2 linked regions of the Oryzias latipes genome follow. The protein of the gene in region 1 purifies or fractionates together with the protein of each later gene. This does not show direct contact. Links are inferred from orthologs where the notes say so. Each region holds a gene or a part of one and is shown in the gene's direction. Other genes may lie near its edges. The genes, in order: fbxw5 and cul1.

Region 1 (15,857 bases):
AACAACCTCATGTGGGAGGTGAGCAACCACAGTCTGACTCCAACATGTACGGTTTTCTGTAAAACTTGTTTCATTGAAATTGTGTATTTGTTCTTTGAGCTCAGGTGTTCAACGAAGACGGAACGGTGCGTTACTTCATCGATGCCAGCCAGGAGGACCAGCGCAGCTGGATGACTTACATCAAGTGCGCCCGGAATGAGCAGGAGCAGAATCTGGAGGTGGTGCAAATCGGCAGCAGCATCTTCTACAAGGCTGTGGAGGTGAGAATTCCTCAAGAAAAAACTTTCAGTTCCATTTCGTTCTGGCTTCAAAAGTGCAGACTTTGCGCTATTTCTGCTCAAATGACTGAACAAGCACTGTCATGGATGGAAGGAAAGGCGCTTCCAAACTGCAGTATTTCCGTGTTGCTTTTTTCCCCTTAAATGTGCAACTTCCAGTGCTGGCCTTCAAAAACGGAAACCCAAAGAACAGAAGGCCTCAAAGAACCTGTTGCGCAAAAACGCACAAAATAAATAAAACAATACTTTTCCCTTGTTCTTAGACTATTCCACCAGACCAGGAGCTTCTTGTCTGGTATGGAAACACACACAACACCTTCTTGGGAATTCCCGGAGTTCCAGGAACTGATGAAGAACATCACAAGAAAAACAGAAATGGTGAGAACAACCAACCCTTCATCTGTCATAATGACTAAAACGTATTTTTGACGCACTAAACTATCCATATTTTAACTCTTGAAATATTTGACAGTTTTTACTCCTCCCAAGTATGGGTGAAAGCATCTCTACCATGTCGGATCATTTAATGTTTGATTTATAAAAAAACATGTTTCCTGTTTCTCTTGTCTAATGCGCATGTGAACCAATAAAAAGTTGGAAGAAATCTTGTTTTATTTCACTTATATGTCTGTTAAAATCAGAAATCTGTGGTTAGGGTTTGTTTTTGCTTTCTAGAATCCAAGAAAATACAAACAACTTGACTAATCCTGCATGAAAAACGTTGCAGATTTATAACACTCTTTTTTTCCCCCAGACGACTCTCACGCCCTTGATGGATCTTCCTCCTCCTGCTCTCCCTCTTCTTCCTCCTCCTTCTCCTCCAACACCACCACCAGTGGGCGGATGCGCTGCGTCATTTGCCACCGCGGCTTCAACTCCCGCAGCAACCTGCGCTCTCACATGCGCATCCACACTTTGGACAAGCCGTTCGTCTGCCGCTTCTGCAACCGCCGCTTCAGCCAGTCGTCCACACTGCGCAATCACGTGCGCTTACACACCGGCGAGCGGCCTTACAAGTGCCACGTGTGTCAGAGCGCGTACTCGCAGCTTGCGGGCCTCAGGGCGCACCAGAAGAGCGCGCGGCACAAGCCGGCGTCGCCCGGCGTGGCAGACGCGGCGCCTCAAGCGTCTCCTCCTCCCCAGCAGATGACTGCCAGGGCGCACCAGATGCCTCTGGTGCGGCACATCCCCACTGTGGTGCTATGATGATTGTCACACGCGCGGAACGACGTTGCACTTTAGGCCCAGCCCAGGACTGTATCTGCAGCCGTAAAGCGTGCTCTTAAAATCCCTTCATGATGACTGTAAATTTCAGATTCCTGCTATTTTTGTTCGGTCGTGGCCAAATTACATCGTGGAAAAAGTTGATTTTTGTATTTTGGAAGCCTAAATATTTGGTCAAGATGTCTTTACTTTTAGTGACGTCATACTTCGGTTCAGGCTGACAGTTTTACATCCAGTAATCTTTCAGCTTCATCTCATCCCACCAGCTCAGGCCTGTCCTCCGTTTTGTACAGTTCCAGTTGTCACTAACATTGACTTGGAAGAAATATGGAATTCTAAAGCTGCATTTGTACATGTGAATGTAAATACCGTTGTTGATTGAAACAAATTAAAGATGCAATATTGTAAAAAAAAAATCTTTCTCCTGCACTTTTCATCCAATGTATTTCCCCTATAAAAAACATGACAGTATGATAACTCGGATAACTTCACTTGATCCTTGAAGTAGATTTCAAACATCCCAAATGAGAAAATATGTTGAATGTTTTTTAGTCTTGAATTTGTGTTATTAAAACGCATTGGGAAACTTTAATCTTTTAGCAAGATTTTTTTTTAAAATGCGTCCCTCATGAGAAAAAAAATCCCCCCAAAATTTGAATTATTTCCCGATGCAGATTATTTAAGATCATAAACAAACTTTTATGGCTTTAATTTTCAACAAAGCAAACAAGACATATTGCAGAGCAGTATGAAAATGTGTTTAGACAAGCATCTCCAACTGCTTTTTATGAAGCTACTCTTTGACAAGTAAAGCAATTTGTTGATTTTCTTTAATTTTCTAGGTTTTCTTTGCAATTAAAGAAAACTAATGTAACTGTTTTTAAATTGAAAATTCAAGTAGTGACACTGATTATTATATGATTGAGTTTTTTTAAAGGAATTTAGTGATCAAAGACAGATTTAAGGTGTTGAAAATGTTTTTGACTATCTAATAGACATATAAAAAAATATAAACGTGAAAACATTGTGAAAAATTATTAAAATTGTGAGGTTTGTCATTAAAAAACTGAAAATCAGTCTTTATCCCACTATGTGAGAAGGACTGTCAGGACTACAGTTTAAATTTTAAAAGTGTATCAAAGTAATTCAGAATCACTTTTTATAAAATTGCTTTACTTAAATTACTCAAATATTACAGATGGGGATTTCAATGTGAAAAGTTTTGTTAATTTTTTTCATCTTCACTGCGTAGAAAAAATGTAAAAAAAAGAAATTCTCCAAAAAAACAATACTAAAAGTTCTGAAAAAATGATTTTTTTCAAAGAAATTATTTGCAAAATAAAGGACATCAAAATAACATTTGCAATATTATTCCAAGTGCAGTTCCAGTAAAACACTGAAATTCAACTTTCTGATTTACACAGATATTTACTTCGACGCACGACAGCGGGAGGAGTTGTGGATATATTGTTATTCAGAATGATTACTGTTCATCATTTTTTATTATTTTGATTTATTTTGATGTTACTTTTCATCATTATTAAGAAAACTGATGAATAGCTCATTAACTTGGAATTGTCAGCGATAGGGCATAATTGTTTGATGCAGTTGCATCTTATCTCCACGAGATGGCGTCAGACAACAGATAAAAGCTAGACAAGCAGCTAGGTCCTCTGATGGAGGGACAAGTTACACATTTAGGTGAAAAAGACAATCACACAATCTGAGTTTTTGTTTCCTTTTTTTCTTTTTTCAAACAAATTTGTGCATTAAGGATGTAAGGCTTACAGTATCCAGATGAATGAGTCGCATAGTGCACTTATATGCTTTCAGACTCTATCCACCTTCCAAATAGGAAGTTTTCAGATAGGTCGTCATTATTTTAAGTGCAGTGCAACATATATCAGATGTACAGCCATTTTTGAAATCCTAAGTGGGAAGGCATTCTTTTGTCAATGGAGATTTGCTTTTATCCATCCTTCTGAGGGCTGTAACCAGAAGCTTTTCCATTTCCACAGACTGTCCACACCGATTCTCCTGCACAACAGGAGAAGTCATTAGGTCATAGGTTCTTTAAACTTAAATTAATTATTTTACATATGAAAATCACCTTTACACTGGTAACCAGTTGATGTTTTCTCTTTCCCAGAGGATCCACAGCAAGAGCATACCCACACAGCTGCATTGTGCAGAGCTGAAAAAGGCCAGGAAGGGTCTGGATGTTTAATCAGCCACACTGAGACGATGCAGGAACAGGTAATCTGATCCTGTTCTTAGATTTCACAATTTTTAAAACAGCATTTAATGCTTCAAAATAGATTTTCTTAAATCCGTTAAATGTATACTGTAAACTTAATGGCTTGCCTAAAGCTGATACAGTTTGTAAAAATTGAGCTCAACAAATACTATTTTTGCAACAGAACAAATATGTTTCAGAACTCACCGGAAAATATTAGTCACAGCATGGCTCCTCACATTAAAATGTCTTTTTCGTGGTCTGTATGGAGATGCAAGTCCTCAATCAGTTATATGTCTTCCTTTTTAGTGCACCAAACCCAGAACACAGTGACACTGCAGTGTATCAGTCACAGAATCTCCTGTTATCCACTTACAGATGTTGATGCGCTGAACCAAGAGCTGCCACACGCGTAAGGTGTACAGTTACAACTTAGTGCTCCAATAGGTTTATTAAACATGAATGACAACATTGGTCCGGAGAAAAAAAAAGGAAAACCAGGTGACAATTTATTGTGACTTCATTGATGTGTTACAAGTTAAAAAGATCTGCTTTTTGTCTTTCTTGAAGAAGTTAATCAGTGATTGTACTTTTTTGCGGTGCTGTAAATACACTCGCTGGTCGCTTTATTAGGAACACCTGTCTAACTGCTCATTAACATAAATTTCTAATCAGCCAATCACATGGCAGCAACTCAATGCCTTTAAGCATGTGGACATTGTCAAGATGATCTGCTGCACCAAGCATCAGCATGGGGAAGAAAGATTATTACGTGACTTTGAATGCTGGTCTTAGTCTTTAAGAAACTGCCAATCTACTGGGATTTCCATCCACAGCCATATCTACAGTTCACAGAGAATGGTTTGAACAAGAGACAATATCCAGTGAGTGACAGTTCTGTGGGTGGAAATGCCTTGTTGATGCCAGAGGTCAGAGGAGAATCGCCAGACTGGTTTCAGCTGATAGAAAGGCAACAGTAATTCAAATAAGCACTGGTTACAACTGAGGTCTTCAACCAAGAGCATATCTGACGGCACAACACATCCAACCTGTAGACAGAGTAGCTACAGCAGCAGAAGACCACACCAGGTGGCACTCCTGTCTGCTAAGAAGAAGAAACTGAGGCTCACCAAAATTGGACAATAGAAGATTAGAAAAATGATGCCTTGTCTGATTATTCTGGATTTCTGCTGCCACATTCAGATTGTGGGGTCAGAATTTGCCTTCAATAACATGAAGGCATGAATCCATCTTACCTTGTATCAACGGTTCAGGCTGTTGGTGGTGTATTCATGTGGGGTACATTTTTTTGCACACTTTGGGCCTCTTAGTACCAATTGAGCATGAATACAATGCCACAACCTTCCTGAGTATTGTTGCTGACCATATCCATCCCTTTATGACCACAGTGTAACGTCTTCTTATGGTGACTTCCAGCAGAATCATCTCAGACTGGTTTCTGGAACAAAATAATGAGTTCACTGGACTCAAATGGCCTCCCCTGTCACCAAATCTCAACCCAACAGATCACCTTTGGGATGTGGTAGAACGGGAGATTGGCAGCATGGATGTTCAACCAACAAATCTGCAGCAACTACGGGATGCTATCATGTCAATATGGATCAGACTCTCAGTTTTGAAGGCAAAAGGGGGTCCAACCTGGTACTAGCATGGTGTACCCAATGAAGTGGCTGTGAGTGTAGATTAACACAATAAAAGACCATGTAGAAGTCTGACAACATGATTTAAAAATGATTTAATTTTAATGATTTAAAAATTTAAAGTGCAGGTCTAGTTCCACTTAAAATGTGACAAGGGTGAACATTACAAAAATAATAAAATAAAATGCATCATTTGTTCCTCTTGGGTCGAGTAAAGCCTAACTTGTGCATTAATGTTCTTATTCAAATATATTTCACATGGGAAGAAAAAACTTCATAAAAACTTTATTTATAAAAAGCACGTCAAATAAATATGTGAATGCCGAGGGGAATCATGGGAAGAAATAAACATCAGTTTATAGAATCCTTAATACAGCAACTATAAAGAAAGTAAAACAAAAAAAAAACAAAATAAAATAAAAAGGAACTAACTTCAAGCAGCGAAAAGATTGAATCGATTGAGTTGGTCTTTCCGCATCGATGCCTCTGCTATCTGCTTGTTAAGCTCCGCTGTGTTGCTGGGCGATTGTTTTCATTTTGTGCGGTTAGCCTTCAACGCAGCCTAAATGTTTCTCTTCAAAAAACTTTGATCAGCAGGTGAGTCACATTTCACATCGCTTGTTTTTTAATTGAACGCAAACTAACTCGTCAACTCGTGAGATGACACTGCCTGTTTGGGAGCCAAACCGCGTCTTGTTGCGACAATTTAGCCTCGTTAGCTAAAAGTTGAGACAAATGTCAGCTAGCAGCTAGTTAGCTCTTAACAAGTTAGCCGGTTTAACTAGCTAGATAGATATATTTGTTTGTTTTAGCTGCAAAGAAATATCGTAAATCGATTAGAAACGCGCTAAAATTGATATATATCCGAGTAGTTCATGTTGACACATACGATAACCGATTTTGCTGTTGGTGTAAACAGGATAAGGATTCACCATTGAACTACATAGAAAAACAACTCTTCAGCAAAATATGTTGAGCCACACAAGCTATGAAGGAAAACGTTTAAGACATTAGTTATTGTTATTGTAGTTACATAAATAAATGGGGTAGGGGGAGGGAGAACACACTTTAAGAGTTCATATATTCATCTTTTTTATTTTTTATTAAGAGTTCCGTTTTGTTTTTGTTTTGGCTTAGGACGCGACTTTCTGAAGAACTAGAAGAAGTAGAAAAATTGACTCCCAAAATTTAAAGTTTGTCCAAAACCGGATTAAAAGAGAAAACTCTTATATGACAGTTAGTTACGTTTTGTTTAGCTGTTGCTTTTCAAACACGAACAACGAGTTTTATTTTTGGAACATTTATTGCCAAAACTGGCTACATTAGGAACGCTTAGATGATAGATCTACTGGCCCGAAAAGCAGCAAGATTTTATTTGTTCTTTAGCATCTAATAGTTGGGAAGTGCTCTGAATAGTTTCATTATGGCATGAGAATTAAACATTTTAAGTAATTATATATAGAGGACTGTAACCTTTAACAGTAAAAGAGCCATTTGGTCCAGTTTTTTACTCACCAAAACCCAACAAGAGCTGCAAAGTCTCACTTTGTTTAGAAAATACCCTTTATTTATGTTTTTGTAACCTTTAAGCCATTTACTAATAAAATGTAGTTTTTATGTATTTACAATAATTTAATTAAGACAGTGTGATATTTTTCCTATATATGAATATTTTACCGGTAATTTATTTTACTCTAGACAAATGCACATACGAGTTCCTTTCAAAATAAAACACACCTTGTTTAAATAAGATCCTTTTGCTGCAGCAAATTTACTTAAATTAAAAATGCAAGAAAGTAAAGTCAAACATGGATTTTATTTTTTATAATTATCTGTTTGGTGTTTCTTCATCCTTTTTCTCTTGAATATAAACATGACAACATTAGGGAGCCTCAGGTTGACGCCTGGTACTACAAAGTAGCATTTTTTTGTGATTTTTAAATATCAATTATTTTTGATAGTTTTGGATAGGGTACTTAAAAATACGTTTGCTGAAATGTTTATAGATATACCCAAATGTGCCATGATTAATAGCAAAGGGAAAGGTTTATAAGGAGAGATTGATACAAAGAAAATTATTAGGATTATTTAGTAAGTTGATGCAAACTTTAAAGTACTGCTTTTATTGAAAGTTAAAGGCCCATTAGTTGTCATACACGTACCTTGGTGTGTGACATTTGTTCTCTGCATTTTACCCATCCCTTTGGGCAGCAGTGAGCTGCAGACACAGCTGTGCTCTGGATTTAACCCAAATCCAGCCCTTCATGCTGATGTACCGCAGCTCCTTCATTCCAACCGCTGTTGGACTGGACAACTAAACAGTCTTACAACAGATGCAATAATGGTTTATTCCTGACAAAAACATTCAATGCTCTACTGCTTTTTTCTTTAGTTCCGGGGCTTTTCATTTTCTCCGTCAGTTCATTACAGTGTTTATAATGAGAGTTTTTGAAGAATTGTATTTTATTTAATGTTGTTTTTACCTTACCTGTGATTGTTTTACCCATTTTATTTTTCCTTGCACCTTAATGCTTGATCCCCAGAGCTGCTGTAACAATTGAATTTCCCCACAGCAGGATCAATAAAGTTCATCTTATCTTACGAGTGTAAAGCATACCCTATTTTTAGTCTTTGGTACAACTCCACAGTAGATTTCAACTTACAACCTTCCTGTCTCAGGGCAGAAACTGTACCACAAGGCCACTGAATTGGTTGGTTAGTTTCAAATCTTTAAATTAACAGAGAATAAAGGCTTCATTCGGTTGCAATAAAACCATTTTGTTTAATTAAAAGTCAGCTTGTGGTCTTTATTAGCAGAAGCATGGCTTTGGTTCAGCTCAGTAAATTTCACAACACTACATGTTATTTCTGAATGTGGAGAAAGAGATCTGCTGCAGAGCTTTGGAGAAAAGCCAAGCTGAGTGGAAAGAAATGAATAGGAACAAGTTACGTACTTAAAGTGTGTGTGTTCTTGTGACTCAGAAGCAAACAGCCATAAAGCTAACATAAAGTACTCGTGTGTTTCAGGATGTTAGGATGGAGGGCTGTCTACTTCTGCCCGACAGCTTGGTTTTGGAGATCTTCTTGCGTCTGTCTCACACTGCCGTGCTGAGAGCTGGTCTGACCTGCAGACAGTGGCAGGCCGTCTCCAGAGATGAGTTCCTGTGGAGGGAGCTGTTCTACAACTACTACCGGATACCCCGCTCTGTACCTCGACACCCCTGTAAATACTTTGTGTTTTTCTAGGAAGCATTTCAACTAAAATGTTCTAACTTTTTTTTCCTCAAAGATACACGTTTAAAGTAACTTTGATTCTGTGTGCAGCGGCTTTTTCCTGGTACAGGGAGTTCAAGCGCCTCTATGACTGTATCCCCTGTGTGGAAGTTCAGACGCTTAGAGAGCACAGCGACCAGGTTCTACACTTAGCTTTTTCTCATAGAGGTCACCGCTTCTCCTCCTGTTCCAAAGACTGCACAGTTAAGGTAGGATGATGTCACTTTTATGTTGGCTTCCTTTTATTTTCTGTCTCCCAAAGTGAGCTGTGACTGTTTGATCCTAAAAAAAGTAACAAAACTATTAAACTTCACGACAGAAGATGCGTTTTGTAACTTGATTAGAAAAGAGACACTGTTAGTTTCCATAAAAAACTCCTTTACAAGATAAATCAAAGCGATCCACTTTTTTGTTTTAAACCCGTCGTATTCTTGCAGCTGTGGGACACGGAGAGGCCAGATGGAGTTATTTCACTGGTACACAGCTCAAGCATGCGCCAGTTCAACTGGGGCTACACCCAGTTCTCCCAGTTCAACGCTGACGACAGCCTGCTGTTGGTTTCTGGAGTCTATCTGGGCCCTCACCACTCTTCGTCAGGGGAAATCGCCGTCATAAGCATGGGTATGAATTTAAAAAAGTGTTTTCTACATTTATCTGGAGGATTGATTTCAGATTTCACCTTGGTTACAAATAATCTTTTTCCCCCACCATAATGTATTTGTGATTATTTTTAAAGACTCCCTCTAAAAATCGTATTTTTGACCTTTTTCTGATGATGGTGGACATATGTTGGGAAAATAAGCTTCAAGTTGCATTTCTGAGTATTTCTTTATGCAAATTGTTGTGATTCAGGTGCAGACAAAAAAAAATCCCTGCTTGATGCCGCTTTGTTGAGGTGTAGAAAATGCACTGACAGGGTGGGCCACAAGCTGTCTGGTCTGCCCTGGAACAAGGAGGGGAAGGGGGGCGGGGTTGCTCCACGGCAACTGTCCTGCCCACAACTCAAATTTCTACTGAACTACTGCCGCTCTGCAGAAACTATGTCCTAGAAAATTATACAGGTTTTTTGATTTAGGCGAAAAACAGCATAATCATAATAAAAAAAAAGACACTGGGAACACTGGGAAAAAACCCCAAAGATGATCAGAGGAATCTTTAAGCAAATATAACAAAAAATGTAAACTCAGAATGAGTAACATGTATGAAATCAATCTAAACTTGTTACATCTAACTGAAATACAATATTATGTCGCTTCCAGCATTTTCAGGATGACAGTCAAGCACAAAAAAACAATAGAACTATTTTAGGCCGATTAATTTTTTTATTTTTTCATGGAAAGCAAATTGTAGAGGTATGAGATTTGTTGCTCATCCGTCTCATTTCAATGCACCCATACAGAAAACTACACACTGTTGTCGCGGGTTAGAAACAAGCCGTATGATGTCTTTGGCTGCTGGTTAAACGAAACTCACCTGATCTCTGGAAACTTGCACTGGATCGGCAACATGACATCCTGCTCGGTTCTCTGGCTCAACAAAGCCTTCCAGGTGAGACAGAGCCAGAATTTTCTTTTAATATTCGTTCTTTGCTAAAGTCCAAACTACAAAATAACATATTTTTCTTCTTTTAGGACATCGAATCAGAAAACGTCAATGTGGTCAAGCGCCTCTTCAAGATCCAAAACATCAATGCCAGCACCATTCGTACGGTGATGGTGGCTCACTGCCATCGCCATGACAACCCAGACCTGCTGCTGGACTATGAGGCTCAGTCTCAGGCCAGGAGGCAGAAAGGAGAGCAGCATTCTCAGCACCAACCGCTCCTCTTCGACCTGGGAGCCTCTGGAAGTGAAGAGGAGCTGGAGGAAGGGGAGGAGGAAGAAGAAGACTATCATCGGGACTCCAGAGGTCACAGCTTCTCTGCCCGTCGTCCCCAATCCTCTGTCTCAAGCCTGGAGCAGGTTATTCATGTAAGATAAACGTTTAATGAAGGCGATTTTTGCCATATATTTTGGCTTGGAAGCCCATTCTTACTTATTTTTCTTTCAGAGTTGTAAAAATGTAAGAAGCAGTGATCGAGAAATCGAGTCCAAGGTCGCTCAGATGATGGGCCGAGTCCACACAAAGGCCCCTGAGTCCAGCCTCATCCAGTCCGCTGAGTCTGCGGAAGATGAAGACAAAACGTATTTACTGTTTACCACCGGCAGCCTTACATACTCTCCTCACCAGATCGGTAAGATTTCAAATACTCCAGAGTAAATAGATACATCTCAGTTTAACTCTCATGCGAGTTTTTTTCTCATCTTCTAGGCATTAAGAGAATCAAACCAGACCAGATGACAACTTCTGGTCCTGTTCTTGGGGAAGAGCGGAGCTCAGAGTTTTTTGATTCCCTGGACCATGTTATTGATATCCACGGCCACATCATTGGGATGGGATTGTCACCGGACCACAGGTAAAGATAATAAAACCTCTCAAGTGCATCCTCAGAACACAGAGCCACGCCATGAAGTAGGAAAACAGCAAATTCTGAGGCGTTCTCCTCTGCTGTCACTACTCAGGTACCTCTATGTGAACAGCCGGGCGTGGCCAGCGGGATGCGTCATCTCTGACCCCATGTCTCCGCCTCCCATCGCTGAAGAGATAGACCTTCACGTCATTGACCTGAAGAGCTTAAGGGAGGAAAGGAGGAGCCTGCGGGCTCACCGGGCCTTCACACCCAACGATGAGTGCTTCTTCATCTTCCTCGATGTCAGCAGAGACTTTGTTGCCAGGTCAGTTGCCATAAATCAGCTTTTCAGACAAACATGCTGGTCCTTTTAAAAAAAATGAATAGCTGGTTAAATGATTTATAACAATGCAAGAAGGAGTTTCCAATCACAACACCCCACGTTTTAATTTCCTGCAGAAAGAAACACCTCTGCCCTGTGGGTGGTCATGTTTCCAACTGTTGGGGACTTTTTCTGTTGAATATACCAAAAATAATTAAAAGAAAGCAAAATTTAGTCAACAATTTCCCAAAATAAAAAGACAAGAAAAGTATATCTTACTCATTTCATTCAACGCTTTTTTAACTTTTGTTTTACTTTAGAATTTGCGCCATTAATTCATCTTTAAAACAGTTTTTTGGGGTTAATGCCTAATATCAATCTTTTAGTACAACCACACATATATTTTTGATTATTTTACTCAATAATTCAACAAGAAACCCGAGATTTTGCAAAATTTGTCTTTTATTTTTCAGCAAAAATTGAGCTCAAACTATTTTAATGTTTTATAAAAAAGAGCAGAGACAAAGTTAAAATGAATAAATCCACACACAAAATAAATAAAAGGTCAAAAATGAGTGAAAATTGTCTTAAAAAAAAAACAAAGTTGGGGGGAAGGTTCATCAAATTTGCAAGGAATTATTCCAAAGGTATCAAAATTTGGTGTTATACTTGTTGTGTTTGTTTTAAACCAAAACATTCAAGGCTAAAATCATGCTTTGACTTAACTGTTAAATTGTTAAAGCGCTTTGAGCGTCTGGAAAAGCACAGATAAATCTAATCCATTATTATTATTAATTGACCTCCTGACGTTGTATCCCTGCGATCTCCATCTGTAGTGGAGCAGAGGACAAGCACGGCTACATCTGGGACCGACACTATAACATCTGTCTGGCCCGGCTGGCGCACGACGACGTTGTGAATTCGGTGGCGTTCAGCCCAGCGGATCAGGAGCTGCTGCTGTCCGCCAGCGACGACTCCACCATCAAGGTGTGGCGCTCGCCGCGGATGGTCCGTCTCGCTCAAGCGTCTCCTCGGAAGCTGAGGCACCGCAGCCTCCTGCCGTCGTGGCTCACCCGCACCAGAAACTCCACAGCCGCCGGCAGCGTGAACGGAAAACCCTGAGCCCGGGTGAAAATCTCTCTGGGAGGTATGGAGCAGGGTGAAGAAGCCTGGTCACCCCGCCGGCCAAACATACACTCCATGTTTGTGTACAGTGTGGTTACAACTTTGTGGTTTTGCTCGAGTCTCTGTAGTGACCTAACGCCATCAGGAGACGCGTGACTCAAGTCTATACACAAGGGGGCGCCGTTGCACCACACAATGGAGAAACCGCTACAGAAACTGCTGAAATGAAGCATAGCAGATGGAAACAGTCATGTGTTGCTGCCTAAATGCACATCACCAATGTCCCGAAGTGTCTCCTAAGGTCATCAGACTGATCTACAGAGGAAGCCACTGCTGCAGTACAAGTCATGCCAACTGCAGCCGTTTCTTTCTCCATCGTCCTCATTATTGGGCCGGTAACTGATTTATGTTTATTTTTGCCAATTCATAGAAAGATTTAATATGTTTCCCGATTAAAACTTTGCAAATCCTGATTCAAAAGAGTTAAAAAAAAAAAAAAAAAAAAGGAGAAAGCCAGCTTGAGCTGTATTCCCTGTGGTCTTCCTTGGTTTTACGGTTGTCAGGTTTTTATGCTTTTGTGGACCCGGAACTATTGTTCTTTGTAGATTTATCGAGTAATTTATTCCAAAAGATTTGTCCAGGAGTATTTGGCGTAAAGCATGACTGTATAAAAAGAGGTCTTTGTAGCTGGTTGTTACTCCCGTCGGTGTAATATGAAAGTGTATTTGTAAGCCTCCTTATGAGAAGAATTAGAATTTCTTCTAAGAAAGGAACCCCAGAAACTGATGCCTGCTTGACGGTCTAAATTAAAAAAGGGAGATGCCAGCGACTTTTCAACTGTCACTATTTATGTGCACAACAGGCGCTGGAACATTTAAAAACATAATATAAATGTGGCACAAGATTAAAGCATTAACTCTACACTTTGTTTTTTTCCTTTAACGCAGTTTGAGCTCTGATAAAACTCACCGTTTGAAACTTTTTTATGTTGTAACTCTCAAATTAACACAAAATGCAAAAAAACCCAGACTTTATCATGATAATAAATGAATAAAATGAGAATAACTATGATGTTTTAGGCTGCAAAGATGTAACACAGTTTTGTAAGGAAGGTAGAAGTGCATCCAGCAGCATATTCACCCACACAGTTCATGGAAGGAATGTCTTCAAACTTCACGTTTCAGGTCAAAGAAGCGTTTTTTAATGTCACGTTTGACTCTTTTGCTATAGAAACCCTTGAGCCCTTTAAAACGTGCAGCGTTATCAGTGACAATTGCAGCTGTGTGATGTGCTTCTTTGCCCAAAACATTCTCAAAAAAACCCATCTCTTAATGCGCGGGGGAGTAGAATATTTTAATGTTCTCTGCATTGGAGCATCTTTCTTTACATTCATGCTTCAAAATCTTCTCTCTCCCCCTTTTATGAAAGTAATCCTCTTTTATGAATATACATATTTAAAAATCCCTGAAGTAAAGATAAAGAAACCCTGCCACATTGATGTTTCTCTTTACTGTTGATCAGCTTTTAGGTTTGTAGGACATGTTTTTAGATGAGTCTGCATTATTTGGATGTCTCCGATGCCACATTAAGACAAAAAGAAAATCATTTGTGTACCTCAGGTCTGAAAATGTCTGTTTCTAACTGCCGAATTTTCCAGTTTCTGCAAGTCGATGTCCTCACTGAATAAAAGCTCTTTGAATTAAATGTGTTCATTATTGTTTAAACAACTCAAATTTTATTTGGAGCTGAATTTAAAAAGAAAAAAAAAAAATCAAACAAATCCCATTCCCAATTAATTTCTGTAATATTTCTCAGGTAAAATAAATAGCTTTTGCATTCAATTGAAATTTAAGAATTTATTTTAATAAGAAGAAATCTTTATTTAAAGTCACTAGTTGTTTAAAAATATTTTTTTCATATTCCCTAAAGGAAGTAAATGTGACAAAGTAATATTTCATCAAACTGCATTGAGCCAGAAATTAGTTGTAACTGATGAATTCACTTTTTGAAGTGACATCCAGGTCTCCTCTGCTTGTAGTTTTTAGTTATCACTATGATGGAATTCTGGATAGATTTACAATAACCCTCATCTTTAAATCTGTTGTATTTGACTGTTTTAAAGAGAAACAAAAAGATTTTTTGAGTCCAGACTAAATAAGACGGTAGGAGATGCTCATAGTGGACATTTGTCTCCTCACTTGATTGAGGTTTTAAATTTGAAAGATAATAATCCAAAAACTGGTTTGTACATGAAGTGCTTCATCCTTTCATTTTTGACTTGGCAGTTTCTGTTAATTTTAGATGTTCTTGAAATGATGCAGGACGTGTTTTCACTTTTCTTTATGGAAAATTCTTAAGATAATTTCCAAAATTCGGGTTTCAAAGAAGTTTTGCAGTTTTTTTTTTTAATTTCTTATTGCTTTCCTTAGGTAATTAATGCAATCAATGTTTGAAAAAACATGTTTTCATAGTGTGCTCTACCAAAAACATAAATCCTCTTAATGTATCCATATGCTGCTATGGTAATAACTTTTGTAATGTAGACTGTTCACTAATACGTTCATTTTCATTTCTAGCAAAAGTTTCAGGCATTACCTCAATTCTGCCCCATCTAAGGTTGGGTTTCCCTTGAGTCACTTCTGTTCAACCGAATGACTGCAAGCGTCCGTGTCATTGCTGCATTGTTCACATGATGAGTAAGGGGTCTTAACGTTTCTCAAATCGGATCTTTTACCGAGTCATTTTGTTTCATTTCATGAACAGTTCATGGTGTATGGCTCTGTGAACGCTGCTAATGTGCTGGAAAGTACAACCGCAAGAAAAAGTAGCCAGAACATGACGTAGTGAGTAACCTTTGACTGAAAGTTAAAGGTTAAGTCAGATTACAAACTGTTTTCAGGAACCAAAAAACCTTGGAAAGTCAGTTCTGAGCAGTGTTTTGCTGTAGCATTAAAGAAACACACGTGCTTCATTCACATGCAGCTGGGTTGTTTTTAATTATAGTGATCAGCAGCCGTCCACATATCCTTAGCTCAGACAAAACAAGTGCTTAACTTAGATCTGATCTTTGGGTTGAATGGAGGGAGGTTCCCCCAAAGCACAAAGAATACATTTCGTTGCAAAAGCTTCAGAGAACTGAAACTCAGCCAACTATGGGGACAACACCCTGCTGTCAGTAAATGCAGTTCCTAGAGAAGTATGTGAACCTTTGGTTTCAATAACTGGTTTAACCTCCTTTGTCGTTGCTTTTTATACAGCTGTTTCTGTTTTTTGTATGGATGTGAAGAGA
Region 2 (15,841 bases), on another chromosome or scaffold:
AAGTTGCGCGGCGAAAACATTGGGGGAGCTGGAGTCCGCGCGCGCTGCGTAAAGCCTGTAGGACCCCTACCTGCTGAAAACGCGGTTGTTGGTGCTAATCCTGCTGGCGTCCATCCGCAGGCGAGCGCATGTTGGAGAGGTCTGCAGCGGTGTGTGATGCGCGCTCCGGCTGTCTGTGAGCAGGCTCAGATGGGCGTGTATAAAGCCTCACTTCCTCGTCTGAGAGCGCAGCGGCCGCCGCCTTCCTCACACAATGACTCCCGCCGCCTCACCTACGATCTTCCCCCTGAAACCCCCGGGAGAGCCATTACAGCCAAGTTGCGTCGCAGAGCAGGCCCGCTGGGGTTTGTGCGTGTCGCACTTTGTTGGGTTTGTCATCACAGCCCAGGCTTCCCCCCGCGGAGGGCTGCGTGAATAATCCGGGATCCTGCGCGGGAGGATCCAGTCGGCGGTACCGTTCACCTGCCGGGACTGCGGAGGGAATCGGTCCGGCGAGGGCCCACGGTGGAGCGGCTTGGAGGGGCCTGCTTGGTCCGCTGCTGGGAGGCGTTGAGGGCAGTTTAGGAAGCAGTGTGACAGAAGCGAGACAGCACCACTCAGAGCTCAGGAGGACCGCGCCGCCCGCCGCTGACTCACGCAACTCCGTCAGCTGTGAGGGGGGAGACCCCGCCGGCTGCTGCTGCAGTCAGCTTCACATCTCTGCGGGACCGAACTAACCCACACGACGGCATTAACACCCAGGTGACGTTTACCTGCAGTTCTGATTGGTCAGAGGTTCGACCGATCCAGGATTAAGATGACAGAACTGGAAGCACATCTGCACACAACTGGTTCCGATCCACAAACTGCTCTGCTTTACAGCAACGTAAAACCAGACGGACCAGTTCATCATCGTTTAAACAATTATCTTGATAGGTTATGAAATCATGAAAATCACATGAATTTCTATCGAATCTATTGGAATCATTCTTGGATCTAATTCTACTCTATTCGTGTAAAAGCTGGATTCAGTTCTAGGCTTACAGTCTTTCTGGAAAAACAAAAACTTTGATCTGACTCCACTTGGGGTGCCTGGAGAGGCGGGGGGGTGGGGGTGGACAAGATTTTAAAAAAAATCTGTGGGGTCTGAAAAAACAGGAATATGACGAAACTGTCCACGTGACTGAAGGAGCGTCTCGTGCAGCTCACTGCACCACTCATGTAGTTTTCAAGGGAAAATGCAAACCATCACACTTGAGTTGATTTGGGAAACTTCTCTCAGCAGCAAACGTGTTATTCACCTTTCTTTAGCTCCTCTTTTGACCATTGACATTTGGTTAAACGTTAAACAGAACCTGAATCATTTGAATTTCTGTTTGAAGTCATTCTCTTTTATTTAAATGCATTTTAACAAGTCAAAACCACTTCTGACTGGAGTTTGTCTGCGGTAATGGCGTTGTTGGATTCTGCAGTTTCATTGGGCTCAGAGTCATTTTAATGTGATTTCTGTTTTTGAACATTTACTAAATTACTGATGCGTTAGATTAGTCTTTTATGAAAGAACTAACTAGAAAACAGGGGGGAAAGCTTAAACTTGAAAAATAAAAACTTAAAAAAATATGAAATAATAGATTGAAATTAATAATCAATCAAACAATAAACACGTTTCTCTCTGAAGTCATGCATGATTATGCTCTTTTGTCAGGCGGAGTTTGGTCACGTGACCCTGACAGATTACCATGTCAGTAATCCGATGAGCCTCTGTGGTTGGACAGACAGGCGCACGGACCAACACTATGCTGCGTGGCGCCGCGTAATCTGCGGGAGGTCGCTCACGCAACATCAAGCAGGAAACACGAAACTGTTTTTTCAGAATAAAAGAATCGAGCTCAGAACATGGTGGTGTGGAGGCAACAGGCTCAGGGGCCTCAACAAGACAGGACCTGACATGCTTCATGTTTAGTTCTGGAATGGGATTTTTAATTTTACATTTATCAGGATAGTTTTTGGGGATTCTACTGGAATTACTATCCCATATCAGCAGTGGTATACCTGCAGATCTGGACAAATTTATGTTGAAAAGCAAGCGTGAGCAGTGTGAAATGAGGGCCACTGAGCACAAGTGCACAGCTCCTGCTTAATTGTTGTTTGCTGATACTTAAAAATAATACATGAACAAGGTAAGAATGGTGGGAACAAAACAAATCATCTTAAGCTCTTGGGAAAACGATCACATAGGCTGCACGGTATCAGTTATCACTCTCTAATTTTGATCCCAAACTGGGTCCTCTCTGTGTGGAGTGAGCATGCTCTCCTTGTAAATGCCTCGGGGTTCCTCCAGTCCAAAACATGCTTCATAGGTTAATTGGTGAATCTAAATTGTCCATTAGGTGCGGATTGTGTGGTTGTTTGTGGTGAACTGCACTCTGCTTTCACCCTTCAGATGGATAGGCTCCAGCAACCCATTGATCCCGAATGGAATAAAGCTAATAATTAAGTTTAAACATGGATGGAGGGAAAAACACATCACACAGTTGAGGACCGCAAGCAGAGACATGAAATGTATGGAGATGATGTTCTAAATGCTTTGCTCTGTGAATCTAAAATTCATCAAGTTATAAAAACAAAATCAAGACTTGCAGCAGTTTAACGAGTTTTTTATACACTTTTTTGACTTTTCACTATTTCACTGGTAATTTATTTGTTAATTGTGTAATTAAATAGACTAAAAGGAAAACCTTTCTATCAGTTTTCCTTCAAAATGTCTTCCTTTTTTGTTTGTTTTGGGATATTTTCAGATTTCAATTAATGAAATTCAAAGTTTTAAATGTGACTGCTGTCTAATGAATGGGGCCGTTTACTTTGAAAGTCCAAACCAGAAGCGCTGGGCTTTTATGGGTCAGACTTTTTTCAGGGGTTGCTAGGGTACAAACTCCCTAACAACCACATCCCTGCAGAGGAAAAGTTAAGGTTTTCCGTCTTAAACTATTGAACTGAGTTAATAGTTGGAGCAGATGACGAGGATGACGAGACTTTGCTGCAAATCTGAGCCCGAAGCTGCGCCTTAGGAGAAAATGCCATCTACCAAGGTTATCAAGGCGAAGCCAGTGGAGGCAACCAAGAAAAGCATTGACAAACACAAACCGGGAAGGGCGACAGAAGCCGGCGCCGCAGACAGTAAACCTAAAGCGGCCGCTGTGCGTAAAAACCGCGCGTCGAGCTGCCCGAGGAGCGCGCAGCAGCTGCCGCGCGGCAGGTGCGACAAGGCCGCCGACAGGAGGGAGGAGGTCAGGCCGAGCTGCGAAAGGAGAACTAGGTCCACTGCTCCCAAACCCACAGAGAATGGGTCCAGAACTAACCCGGACACGCGCAGGGCGACAAGCTCCGTGAGACAAGGCGCTGCCACGAGCGCGTGCCCACGTCAGAAGGAGCAGAAGGGGGTCAGAGAGGCAAAACTACTCATACAGAGGTGAGGCAGTGAAGATGGACCTGGGGAAAACAGTGTGACAGGGAAGCAGGGGTTCACAGCATTTACCTAAAGATGTGATTCTCTGCTGCCGGGAGTATGTCTGTGCAAAATAATGTAATTTCTCATGACTGAAACTACACAGGACTTTACATCCAGGTGAACTACCTCCGAGACTTTTCACAACACTTTTTTTACACTTTCAGTCTCATTTCTCCTAACAAACTGATGTGTTTATTTGTCTGTTGGACTAAATGTTAAATTGCTCCACAAAAACATAATTTAAACACCTCATAGCAGAAATGTCTGTAGTTTTTGTTCGGGGAAGCATCAGTAAAGCATCTAATTTAAACTCCATGTGGGTGTTATGATAAAAAAAAAAGGAATAAAAAAAAAGGACTTTATTAGGACAGCCAGCACAGAGTTCATTCTGACTGAGTGCACCCAGCACTGCAGAGCAGCGCCTTGTTGCAAATGCAGGGCCAGTCCTGCTGTGTGTGGCCATCTGCTGCAGCGGGTTAATCCCCACACGTTTTACCACCCGCTGACATGACTGACCTGCAGGCCAAAGCATGTATGTCACTCACTTTTTATTATCTTTACAAAATAGAGTTTTCAACCAGAGACAACATCTTTATAACTCCTCTGGTATGTCTGTGTCTAAGCTGTCTTTTTTAATTTTATAGACATTTAATCCTAACTAACTTCAACATGGTCTCTAATGAATTTAGTAAAAAGTGAGGTGTCTTCATGTCCAGAGAAAACGCTGAAACTTTTCATAGCTGAATTTTCATTTTGATCCAACATCTCTTTGATGTGGATATAAGGGGAAAATGCCCAAACCCTCCAAAAATAGTAAACCCATTTTTAATAGGAAAAGAAGCAGAAAAACTCAAGTTTTTAATAATTACAAACTCATCATCATCATCCTCATTGTTCAGAAACTGGTGTTTTTAGGTCTACACAGCCACAACATCTGCGGTGTAAATGTGACAGTGGAGCTAAAATCTAAAGTTAGACTGAATAGTTCCCTGGATAATCTTCACCCAACAACCTTTGTTCTGTTACACAACAAATTCATCTGATGTATTAGATGAAGAAGAGATTATTCTACAAATGCAGATGATTTTTATCAGTTGGTCACTCAAATCTACTTCATGATGTAAACTGCATTTGCATCACTCTGTTTATATCTAAACAACTAACAGATTTCATTTGTTTGTGTTCTTTAAAACACTTTGGAGTTCATACGATTCAAATGTAAAATGATGAGCAAGACCAAAAAAATGTTGTAAATACTCGATGTTTTCCATTTCAGTAACAAAGCCTTCACCGTCATTCCACCAAACCCAAAGAAGAGAAGGGAAATCCAGAAAAGTGAGTGTTCTTTGTGTTCATGTTTGCGTTGTTGTAACTCTCAGCTTGTCATTCAATTCTGAATGACTTTTGGCTGGGTAGAGGCGGAGGCAGAGCTTGCTGCTTTGGAGGAGCTTCGTCTCAGCAGAGCAATGACCTATGTGTCCATCGACCCCAGCAGTGTTGGTGAGAGCGCCGTGACCAACGCCACACGTTCATGGTGTCAACTGTTCTCTCTGACAGCACCCCTTCATACTGTCTTCACAGGTGGCTGCATGAGTCTGGAGGAAGTACGGCTGAAGCAGCAGCAGGAAATGATGCAAGCCAAGAGGAAACAGAAACAGGTCTGCTGGTTTGCACTCGGGCTTTTGATGTCTTAATCCCAGCAAACGCATGACAATGCAAATCCATGTGTAATGGCACCAACAACGGAGAGTTGCTGAGGAAAAACTCCTTAAAGTTCAGATGCTGCAGCTTCACTCTCCATCAGCTCCCTTTTTCTGAAGGTGTCTTCTCCTATCTTGACTCTTATTTCAGATGAAGAAGCAGGTGGTGGAGGAGGCAGCTGTCCTGACGAGCTGACCATTGCATCTTCTTTCTTCTCTGGATCCGCTCAACTTATCATTCAGATCAAACATTTGTAGGCAACTATACAGCTACTTATTGACAAAACATGTCCTTCTGCACAACTGTATGAGTCACACACATGTATTTTGTTTTGGACATGTTAATTAGCTTGCAGTGTTTTTGTATTTTATACACAGGTATCTATGTTCATTTGTATTGATGACATTCTGCAACATAAAACAATAAAATATGTTTTTGACACGGTGCTAAAGCTTTGTTTGGACACAGTTAGACACAGTTTTTCTTGTGTTTAGGTGCTCAGGAAGACATTATTAGATATATTCTATGTTTAGCTGTTGTTGTTGCATGTGATTTTTATTTTATTTCTAAAATACTGACTCGTTTCTAATTGTCAGAAAAATTGTGATATTTAGACATGCAGTGTCTTTTCAAAATCCTCTTCATTTGCAGCTGATTGACACTGTGCTTCTGCTGTTCTGCCGTCGGCCAGCAGAGGTCGCGCTCTGCGTGATGAGGGCACGTCAGTGGCAGGGCAGGACTTTACGTTCAGAGAACATTAAGTTCGCTGACGGAATATTTAACAGGAAGTTGACAGCAATCGTGTCAAAATCATTGAAGGATACAGATACAGTCAATATGGTGACACCCTAATGAACCAACAGCACGTATATCAACCGGAAACGGTTGGTTTCAGTGCGTCACATCTGTGTTAATGCGTTTAAGAAACAGATCGAACGCAAATAAAACTAAATGTCACAGGTGCCACTTTGCCATCGAAGTACATTTGAAAAGTACGTTATGGTACTAAAACAACAAACTACGCATGCGCCAAATGTCCAGAACATATGATTCGCCATATTTGTAGTTTTATACGTCACAAATGCTGCGTTCACTGAATCCCTGTAAATTATAGCGTTTTTGTTTCGCATAATAAATAAAAACAATAAAAACAACTGCACATAAGAGTCTTTATTTTGGTTAAATACTGTCAGATTTGGTGGATTTTCAAGTATACTGTTCACGTTCATATCCCTTTGGTCAATAAAGTTTTCTAGTATTAAATATTACAAAGCTGTTAAAGTGGTAAAGAAATGTGTTGTGATTAAACAACAGTGTAAAAGCTGTCTTTAACAATCATATCAACTACTTTTGATCAAGTATAACAGTATTATTATTGATGTACTCTGCTAATTTAGTTTAGTCCAAATTATATTATATGAAACGTAAAAACGTTAAATTTGACTTTTTTTAATGGGCAACTATTTTTCAAATTAACATGCATATTTTTATGATGTTTTTCACAAGAGCCGTCTATCTTCGAGTTTGAGAGACCTTTTCATCAGATCGTCCTTCTTTCGGAGCGCACCTGAAGGCGGCGTGATCTGGTGGCTGTTGAGATGATCTTTGTGTGAACGAAGCAGCACAACGAGCGCAGCTAGCAGCCCGCTCCAGGCAGACCCACTGACCAGAAAGACGCCGGGCCAGACGCGTTCCGTGGCCGAACATTACCGCTTTCTGCGATTATACAGCCACAGCGACAGTCTAAAAATGGTAAGAGGACGTTTTAGTTTTTGAGTTTTCACTGTTAGTGGTTTTTTTTTCCTAACGACAACCAGCTTAGCTTTGCGCTAGCTGCTAAAGCTAAGCGGTTAGCGAAGTGTTTTCCTGACTCATTATTGAAGAGCCCAAGAAGCTAGGCTGCCATTTTACACAAGGCACTTAGGACTCGATTGATGCCTTCTGGCACGACAGAGACGATTCTTATTAAATATAATAAAAGGAGCATATATATTTAAAGGAATGGCGGTATAAATCAAGTATCGTACGTAAATCTAAGGCTAGTTGTTCACACAGGGGCCAAACAGTGAGTCGGGCTAACAAGCTAATCCGAGACGGCTAATGAGTCTTAGCGGTGTTGCGTAGCAGTGTCAGACTCCGGTCGTAGCACACTGAACTATAATCACAACAGTGGTTGTCAACTTTAGTGTAAATTGTTAGATATCAGCGTATTTAGTTGGATTGTTTTCGCTCGCTGTCCGCCTCCCGTGTCGTGTTCGGACTCCAACCTGAAACACTCCAGCGCCGTTGAGCATTATTTCTCTGCCCAGGATGACGAGGTGTGGGTTGAATGCCAGACTGAATTTACAGCCCAGCCTTTGTGTCCAGCCACGTCAGTATTACGATCATTGTTAGGTGTTTTCCGTTTAAAACACCACTGGCTTGTCACCCCCTAATGAATGAACGCTTCATCACTTCCTGACAGGTTTTTATGACAGGTGAGAAAACTCGTTGGTAGTCTTCCATATGATGGGGTGTAGAAGTCCACCTCTTCATGTAAATGCAATTTTTCTTTTAAATACTTTGTTTAAAATATTGTTTCTTATTAAGACAAAGTTAGAAGTGGTTTTTGCTCTTGTAGTTGAGCTGAAGCCACATCTGTTTCATATGTTCTTGCTTATGAATAAATATTTGCTCTTTTCAGATACTTTGTTAAATTAAAAAATGGGATTGTTATAACTAGAGACCGAAATAATAGTTTAAATTCACATGAAAGAACTGTAAACATCTTAATTTGAAAGGCTTTCACACTCTTCCTTGCCCTGGATTATTTGATTAAGCATTATTAAAACAAATACCAAACGTTTTTACTTAAATGTAGGCCTTTTTCTAGAGACTGGCTTATATTTCCTTGATGTTATTGTTCTTTTGTATGGAAAAGACTTGGTGCTGTTTTGCAAAAACAAACTAGATTTTTTTCTTTTTTTAAGGTTTCAAACTTTTTCTGACTGGTCATATGGAAAAGTATATTTAGGGATGTTGTGTTCCCCATTTACATTTGATAGCTTGAACTTCCAGTGACAATAGATTACTTATTCAACGATAAACAAAAAAGATCATGGTATGTATGATATTGTATTCTGAAATTGCTTTTCCAAGCTTGATCAGGTTGGCATAAATTTTCTGTATTTCAAGGAGGTGGAGTTTTGATTATTTACTTTTAGTGAATCGTATGTAATGCGTGGATTAATTTACAGTTGAAACCAAAAATGTATATACACCACAATAAAACACATGCTTTTTTTCTCACCATCAGACATGACATTAAAGTACACTTTTCCTGTTTTAGGTAAATTATAATTAACAAAATTATTTCAATTTGCTAAATGTCAGAATAATGAGACTAGGTTTTGTTTTTTTAGACAAGTTTTTATTACTTTTATCAAGGTCAAAAGGTAACATACATTTCCTTAGTGTTTGGTACTATTGCCATTAAACTGCAGTACTTGGGTCAAACCTCTTGGATATCCTTTCACAAGCTTTGGTAGGAATTTTGTCCCGTTCCTCCTGACAGGACTGGTGTGAATGAGCCAAGTTTGTAGGTGGCCTTGTGTGTACACGCCTTTACAGCTTTGACCATACATTTTCAATAGGATTTAGGTCCAGGCTCCAAAACTTTATTGTCCCTAAGCCACTTTGTAACCAGTTTGGCAGTATGCTTCAGGTCATTGTCCTTTTGGGAGATCCATTTGTGCCCAAACTTTCTGGCTGACGTCTTCAGATGTTGCTTCAATATTTCCACTTACTGTTCTTTCCCTCATGATGCCATCTATTTTGTGAAGTGCACCAGTCCCTCCAGCAGCAAAACAAACCCACAAGATGATGCTACCACCCCCATGTTTTACAGTTGGGGTGGTGTTCCCAGGCTTATGTTTCCTCCAAACATAACGATGGTCATTGTGGCCAAACCGTTCTATTTTGGTCTCCAAAAATTAAAGTTTTTACCCTTGTGTGCTTTAGCAAACTTGAATCTGGCTTTTCTACGTTTCTTTTGGAGTAATGGCTTCTTCCTGGCAGAGTAGCCTTTCAGCCCATGTCTGTACAGCACTCGTTTCACTGTTGATAATGTCACATTCTTACCATCTTCAGCCAGCGTCTTTACAACATCTTTTGCCTTCGTCCTTGGGTTGTTCTGGACATATTGGACCAAAGTACGTTCATCTCTGGGACAAGGAACCCGTCTCCTTCCTGAGTGATATGATGGCTGGACGTTCCCATGATTCTATACTTGCGTACCGTTGTCTGAACAGATGAACGTGGCGCCTCCAGGCATCTGGAAATACATCCAGGAAAGAACCAGACTTGTGCAAATCCCCAATTGTCTTCCTAATATCTCAACTGATTGCTTTTAACTGTCCCATGATGTTTTACAAACAAGCAAGAGTGTTTTTAAATGTGCCCTAATACATATCCACAGGTGTGTTTCTAATAAACTCTAATGCTGTCAATAAACGTATCTGATGCTTCCACAGAGATGACATCATCATCTGGGGTTTCCCAAATTGTTTAAAGGCATTGTGATCTTTGCGTATGTGATCTTTTGACTTTGAATAAGTAATAAAAAAAATGTCTTAAACCCTAGTCTCATTATTCTGACATTTAGAAAATAGGAATAATTTTGTTAATGGTAATTGACCTAAAACAGGAAAAGTTTACTTTTATTTCATGTCTGACGGTGAGAAAAATGCATGTGTTTTTTTATGTGGTATATATAAACTTCTGGTTTCAACTGTAGATGGAACTGAATGTAGAACAAACCAACTTTATAATGTCTTTTTAAAACTTTTTATAGAGATAAAAAATGCCAAAGAAGTATCTGTTGTCCTTCTGAACATCTGCTTCTTCTTCTCCTGTGGAATGTGTCAGTTTGAGGAGACTCTCGTCAGCAGCATCAGCTTCCTTCATCTAAAACCAACACACACACTGCCTACACCGACTGCCAGCTGGCATTTTCTGCCTTTTTAGGTTTACTTACCTTTTTATGTGTGTCTTACAACAAATTGCTGTTTTTCTAAGGCTTTGAACTGTTTTTTGTATTTCATTTGTGAAAGAAAGTTGTAGCAAAGAGAGTTCTTGAGTGATGTTTACAAGCAGCATGTGTGCAGCACATGCTGAATGTTGTTGGCTGACTTGCTCTCCACGCATCACCTCTATAGTTTTTACTTGAGTGGCTCTGCATTTGTAAGTCAGTGTGATCAGCCGAGTACTTATTCATTTTCATGAGTCAGTTCTACAACTTTTCTGTGTCAGTCATAAAAACATCAAATTTAAGATGCGCAGCCAGAGTGGCAGCCATGAAAAGGCCATCCTGTCTGTTTACAGACATACTGCAGCTACACTGGCTGGGTCAATGGGCTGTTGTGAAGGGAAACACGAACTGCTCTGTGAAGTTTGTAGATATCCAGCCTCTTCTGAAGTTTCTGGTTGGGAGGAGACTGCTATTTCTTCTTATTTGCTGATCCTTTATTTGTGAAGTTGTTCCTTGCTTTTAAATTCTCTCTTTTCCAAACACCTTTATTCACCTTTTTTATTCAACCGTGTCTGCTGTAACCAATTTCTGTCGTTTCAATAGTCTTTACACAGCACGCATAAATGTAGGTTTAAATTGAAGGTAATGAAACACATAAAAGAAAAAGTCTTTTATTACCCAATAGAGACATAATCATCCATAATTTAGGTTACACGTTATTGTAAGGAACAAGAGTAATCTCTCAATGAAGCCTGAGATGTTTGCCTGTTGTGAGTCGGCACTGCCCTGGCTGGTTTCTGAGTCGTTTTTGGCTGTGGTTTACATGCATGCTCCAAATATAGGGTATTAGGTTGTTGAGTCTGGCCAGGACACACGGTGACGAGGGTAATCAGATTTACTGAGCTGAGTTTTTTTCCCCCCCACGAGCGCTGCTCTGCCTCTTCCTACCCTGGACTGGTTATTATACCACTCCCTGCATCCACCCTGTTCAGGAAAAGTCTCATCATCATGGTACAGGACCAAGAAACTGTGCTGGAAACTGAATGCAGGAGAGCTTTGGCTGTCTGTGTATCAATCACCATCTAGAATCATTAGGATTGGGTCTCATAGCCATTGTATTAAATGGATTCAATAGTGATTCACTAGTTCATAACATCATTTACAAATAGACACAATTTAATTCAATATTGGTGTATGTCTTTTAATTTTCATTCCAAAATTGACTGTTTGTAAAATCTTTTAACGTAGCAGGGGATTTAAAAAAACTAGTGTGAAACTATTTTTCATAAACTAATATTTTTTTCATCAGAAACAAACTTAAGAGCTGTTTTTGCATGAAAAAAAACATACAAAAATCAATATTAACCTAAATGATTATTAGATATGTGTAAATTGTCAGATTTACATTTGAAAATAAATAAACCCTTTGGAAACGTAATCTGTTGGACAAATGGCAGATTTTATTGAGTTTGCTGGTACTACTCAGTTCATCTGTCATCAAAAATTTACTGTGCACATCATTTATACTGGTTATTTACAGTTTTCCTTATGTAAACAAATATTTGTTCGTTTTTATGTCACTGAATCTCCATTTTAAATAGGAGATGAACAGAACTGATTTGATTTAAGCAGCAAATAAACAGAATACATTCTCGCAGATTTGGCTGGTAAAGGAGTGAAAGCTGTTTTTCAGAATCAAACTATTTTTGATGGAAATTTAAAAAATGACAAAAGATGTGTCATTAAAATTAATCTTGAACTTTAGAATCAAAATTGACTGAGGTCTCTCAGTCATCCAGGTCATGGTATCACAGGCTTCTGTTCTTGGATGCCACTTTAGTCTGGCACGGAACAGAAGAGGCATAGCATTAAGTCAGGACTCAGCAATCCAACTGAAAGACACAGAACTCTCCTTTGAAGACAACAACCGCATTTAGGACAGAGGACTGATGGTTTACATAGGAAGTTAGAAAGCATCTATGTTTAAATGGATAAATCTTCTCATAACAGATGTAGGAGTTTGAAACATTTCCTGTTTCCCATGTTCAGCCCTGTTTTGAAATTTTGGCCAACAGACTATGATTATATTCATCCACCACAGATAAACAATGGACCCACCAACAAGTGCCCTGATCAGCATTGAATCATTTGCATCTGTTCATGTGACGTCCAGTTGCTTTTAGCAACAACTCTGTAGCAGTCAGCACATAAATAACCTGAATTCTCCATCAGCTGCTGAAACTAAAGATACTTGGATGAGCAGCAAATTGTTTTCTAGATGAACCTTTAAAGTTCAGCTGCCCTGAAGAACGAAATCCTGCAGTGAAAATCCAATGAATGCATTATTTACGCAGCAATAGTTGTGTTACCTTTTTTATTATCTAAAAGATAATGTTTGACCTGTCTTTATTAGCTGGTTATAGACTTAAGAATATCTTATTCTTTCTTCTTAAAACCAAAAGTTTTTGCTGTCCCTTTAAAACGTTTTTTACTCAAGTGAAAAAGCTGTCAGGCTGCTTGTTTGCATGGAGGACTAGATTTGCTGTTTCGTGCTCGAATGAAGATAGACAAACTTTACCTTGTTTCCATAGCAGACTGCGGTTTTATTTACATGTTGGTGATGAATAGGAGCAAACGACAGCGCAATCAATTTATGACTTTTACGGATAATTTTTTACTTTTTTTTTTGTCTTCAGAGTAAAACCTACAAATAAAGTATTTAGTTAACTAAAGAAGTTAACTAGTTACAGAAAGTGCAATCATAGAAATAATTAAAATACATTGAACACATTTATCTACTGACAAAAAACTCCTAAAATAAATGACTAAAAAACTTAGATTTTCTTAAAGCTCTGCTTAGGGGTTTTGTGCCACTTTTTTCTACCAAATCTTCTTATTCTGGGTTTTCTCTATTTAAAAATAACATGTATTTTTATTGGAAGAAAACCCTTAGTATGACCTGAAAACATTCTAATGTACTAAATAATGTACTTAAATTTTTATTAAGGAAATGTCAATAACTGAGGATTGCTGCTTCAAATTTTAAAACAACTTTACCTTTTTCAGTTTTTTTTTCATCTATATATTTTAGTAGGATAAAATAAAAATGTGCAGTTATGCTGGAAGTGCTTCAAAATTAACTGTCTTTATGTGGTTTGTTTCTTTAGTCATAAAATGTCATTTCATTTTATTAGTTCCTTGAAAATGAAAATGTTTTACAGTGCCGTGATGAAGAAGTACAGTCCTGGACGTGGTGCTCATGATGATCAAGAGGAATGAGATTCTAGTTTCACAACATGACTCTGTTGGTCCTTATGACCGGGCTGTGTAACTGATTTCAGGTCAGATACTGGGGAGTACATGTGTGGTGTCTCTTGGTGTGGGAATCTGAAATCTGATCTGAGCGATCCGGTGAAGGACAGCATTCTTACAACCAGAGATTAGACTCATAAGAGACGAACTAAATCCTTCAGTGTTCAAGTTTGATGACTTTTTGGTGGGTAAAGTATCCTAAGTTGCGAGGACAACTGCAAAAACACCCTATGTAGACTTGACTTTGTGAGTACATTAGGGCTGTGTTGGATGGGCAGAGATGGAAGCAGGTCTGAAGTTGCATTGAAATTGTTCGGTTCCCCTGTAAATCAGACCGTCTGAGCTTTTTCAGTACAACAGCCTTCTGGGTACATCCGCTTTGATCAAGATAACGTATTATCCTAAAATCGTATATATATGTCAGTTAGGGGTGTAATGATTTATTGACTTAATTAATCAATTAAGATTCTAGATCCAACTGTCTGAGGCAAGTTGTTAATCAAATTGACCTATACCATTTATAAAAAAAAAGTCAAGATTCTGTCAATCTTGTAAAATACCAGTTGGGTTGAGACACGATAGGTTAATATTACTATAATGTAAAAACAACCAAGTGCATCACAGCGGACAACACACATGTGATGACAGCAAAAACGGATCAGTCAATCATTCCAGTCCAATGTGTGGAAACAACTTTTGAATTTAGCAAAGACGTGACAGTGCACTAAGAATGTTCCCTTTTTACACACTGGTTTAAATTTTGGCTAAAGTTGTACTAGATCCATTGTAGGTCAGTGAATCGGATCGTCCAAAATCAACTAATAAAACTATGAATCGTACCGTCAACCACAAACTAGCTAATTTAAATCAAATTGTTGTTCAAATTAATTGTTACACCTTTAATGTCAGTATAATAAATAATTCTCTAGAGTATTATAGAAATTTTAAAGTCAGCTTTAAAATGGCCAAGATGACTGGCTGTGGCTAGCTCTTTTAATGTTTTCTTCTTCTACTCCACATGGAGTTTAGAGATTCTCCATGTTGCAGATTATAAAACAATGTAGTTTTTTTCTGCAAATCATGGAATTAACTGCTTTTTATTGAATTTCCTCCTTGCAAACCTAATCTGCCATCACATACTGGATGATGTGAAATGTTTCTTGTGTATAAAATCATCTGTCTCGTTTCCATTTTTAGAATGCATCATTTAGCTTAACTTTAAATTTTAATTTGAAGAAAATAATTTTTTAAAAGCTGTTATTCCCAAAAATGTAAAGCGTATGATTCATAAACCAGATCACTCCTTTTTTTTTGGTCATTGTTTTTGTGGCAAAAACATACCGTATTTTCCGGACTATAAGTCGCACCGGAGTATAAGTCGCACCAGCCCAAAAATGCATTATAAAGTAGAAAAAAACACAGATAAGTCGCACTGGACTATAAGTCGCATTTTAACTTTCACAACCTTATATGACACAATCATAGCAGACTGTTTATCTAATAATTTCACAGTAATTTTTTTCAAACTTATTTATTTATTCCTTTCATGAAGCATCATTGGCCAACTAATACTCTGTTTTCATCCTGTATTTGTAGAAACAGTTGTCATTTTTATTGCATTTCTGAATCTATGAAATCATTGGAAAATAGAATATTATGTTGTTAGCCTTCAAGATCTTACTGTAAAAAAAGTTTGCTGTTTCTCTGAGTCACTTAACATACTCTTAACACTTAACATACCTCATACATCAAATTGACCCAGTAACATCATCTCTGTTCCTCACAAATGAACATAACAGGAGGGTTAACAATGTATTTATTTCAAATTATTTCTAATATAAGTCGCTGCGGAGTATAAGTCGCACCCCTTGCCAAACTATGAAAAAAGGGCGACTTATAGTCCGGAAAATACGGTATTTAGTTCCCTTGTGAATTAAACGATACCTTCTGAAGTTCCACTCTGATCATCTTTTGTATTATCGTACAAGTGTTCCCAGTGGTCTTTTCAGTATGATGATGCAGTTTTTAGCCAAAATCTAAAAACCTGTGGCGTTTTCTAGGACATAGTTTCTGTAGAGCGGTAGGAGTTCATGAGAAATTCACCTCTGGCCTGGAGCGGGACTGTTGGCAAAGATGGACGTGGAGACGTACATGGCAGCCATGTTGTAACAAACTGCCAGTGTGTGGGTGCATTTTTGTCCCCTGCAGAAGGCTGCATGGATGTGGGCAGGACATTAGTTATGTCAAGTTATGCATCTTAGGCTTGCATCTGTATTAAAAGGACACAAAGACCAGAATTTTGGCATCAACTAACTTGGTTTGAAAGTTCTATG

What was found.
Region 2: the proteins of fbxw5 (region 1) and cul1 purify together in Homo sapiens (affinity purification with western blotting; 9 studies listed by BioGRID and IntAct, with this or other methods). This does not show direct contact. The link is inferred for Oryzias latipes from reciprocal best matches to the Homo sapiens genes FBXW5 and CUL1.

Annotation. Positions count from the first base shown.
Region 1 is NC_019870.2:12,258,381-12,274,237, forward strand, and holds fbxw5 (F-box/WD repeat-containing protein 5), read left to right. Parts: upstream 1-5,773; 5' UTR 5,774-5,996; intron 5,997-8,426; 5' UTR 8,427-8,435; coding exon 8,436-8,622; intron 8,623-8,723; coding exon 8,724-8,881; intron 8,882-9,109; coding exon 9,110-9,293; intron 9,294-10,071; coding exon 10,072-10,220; intron 10,221-10,303; coding exon 10,304-10,642; intron 10,643-10,721; coding exon 10,722-10,905; intron 10,906-10,982; coding exon 10,983-11,127; intron 11,128-11,233; coding exon 11,234-11,446; intron 11,447-12,279; coding exon 12,280-12,565; 3' UTR 12,566-14,272; downstream 14,273-15,857. Other genes in the region: prdm12 (PR domain zinc finger protein 12), read left to right, coding at 1-18, 105-260, 542-656, 1,033-1,484. UniProt on the Homo sapiens protein: Substrate recognition component of both SCF (SKP1-CUL1-F-box protein) and DCX (DDB1-CUL4-X-box) E3 ubiquitin-protein ligase complexes.
Region 2 is NC_019878.2:3,214,974-3,230,814, forward strand, and holds the start of cul1 (cullin-1), read left to right. Parts: upstream 1-6,783; 5' UTR 6,784-6,940; intron 6,941-15,841. Other genes in the region: uncharacterized protein LOC111946577, read left to right, coding at 3,054-3,448, 4,764-4,822, 4,904-4,987, 5,069-5,145, 5,339-5,383. UniProt on the Homo sapiens protein: Core component of multiple cullin-RING-based SCF (SKP1-CUL1-F-box protein) E3 ubiquitin-protein ligase complexes, which mediate the ubiquitination of proteins involved in cell cycle progression, signal transduction and transcription.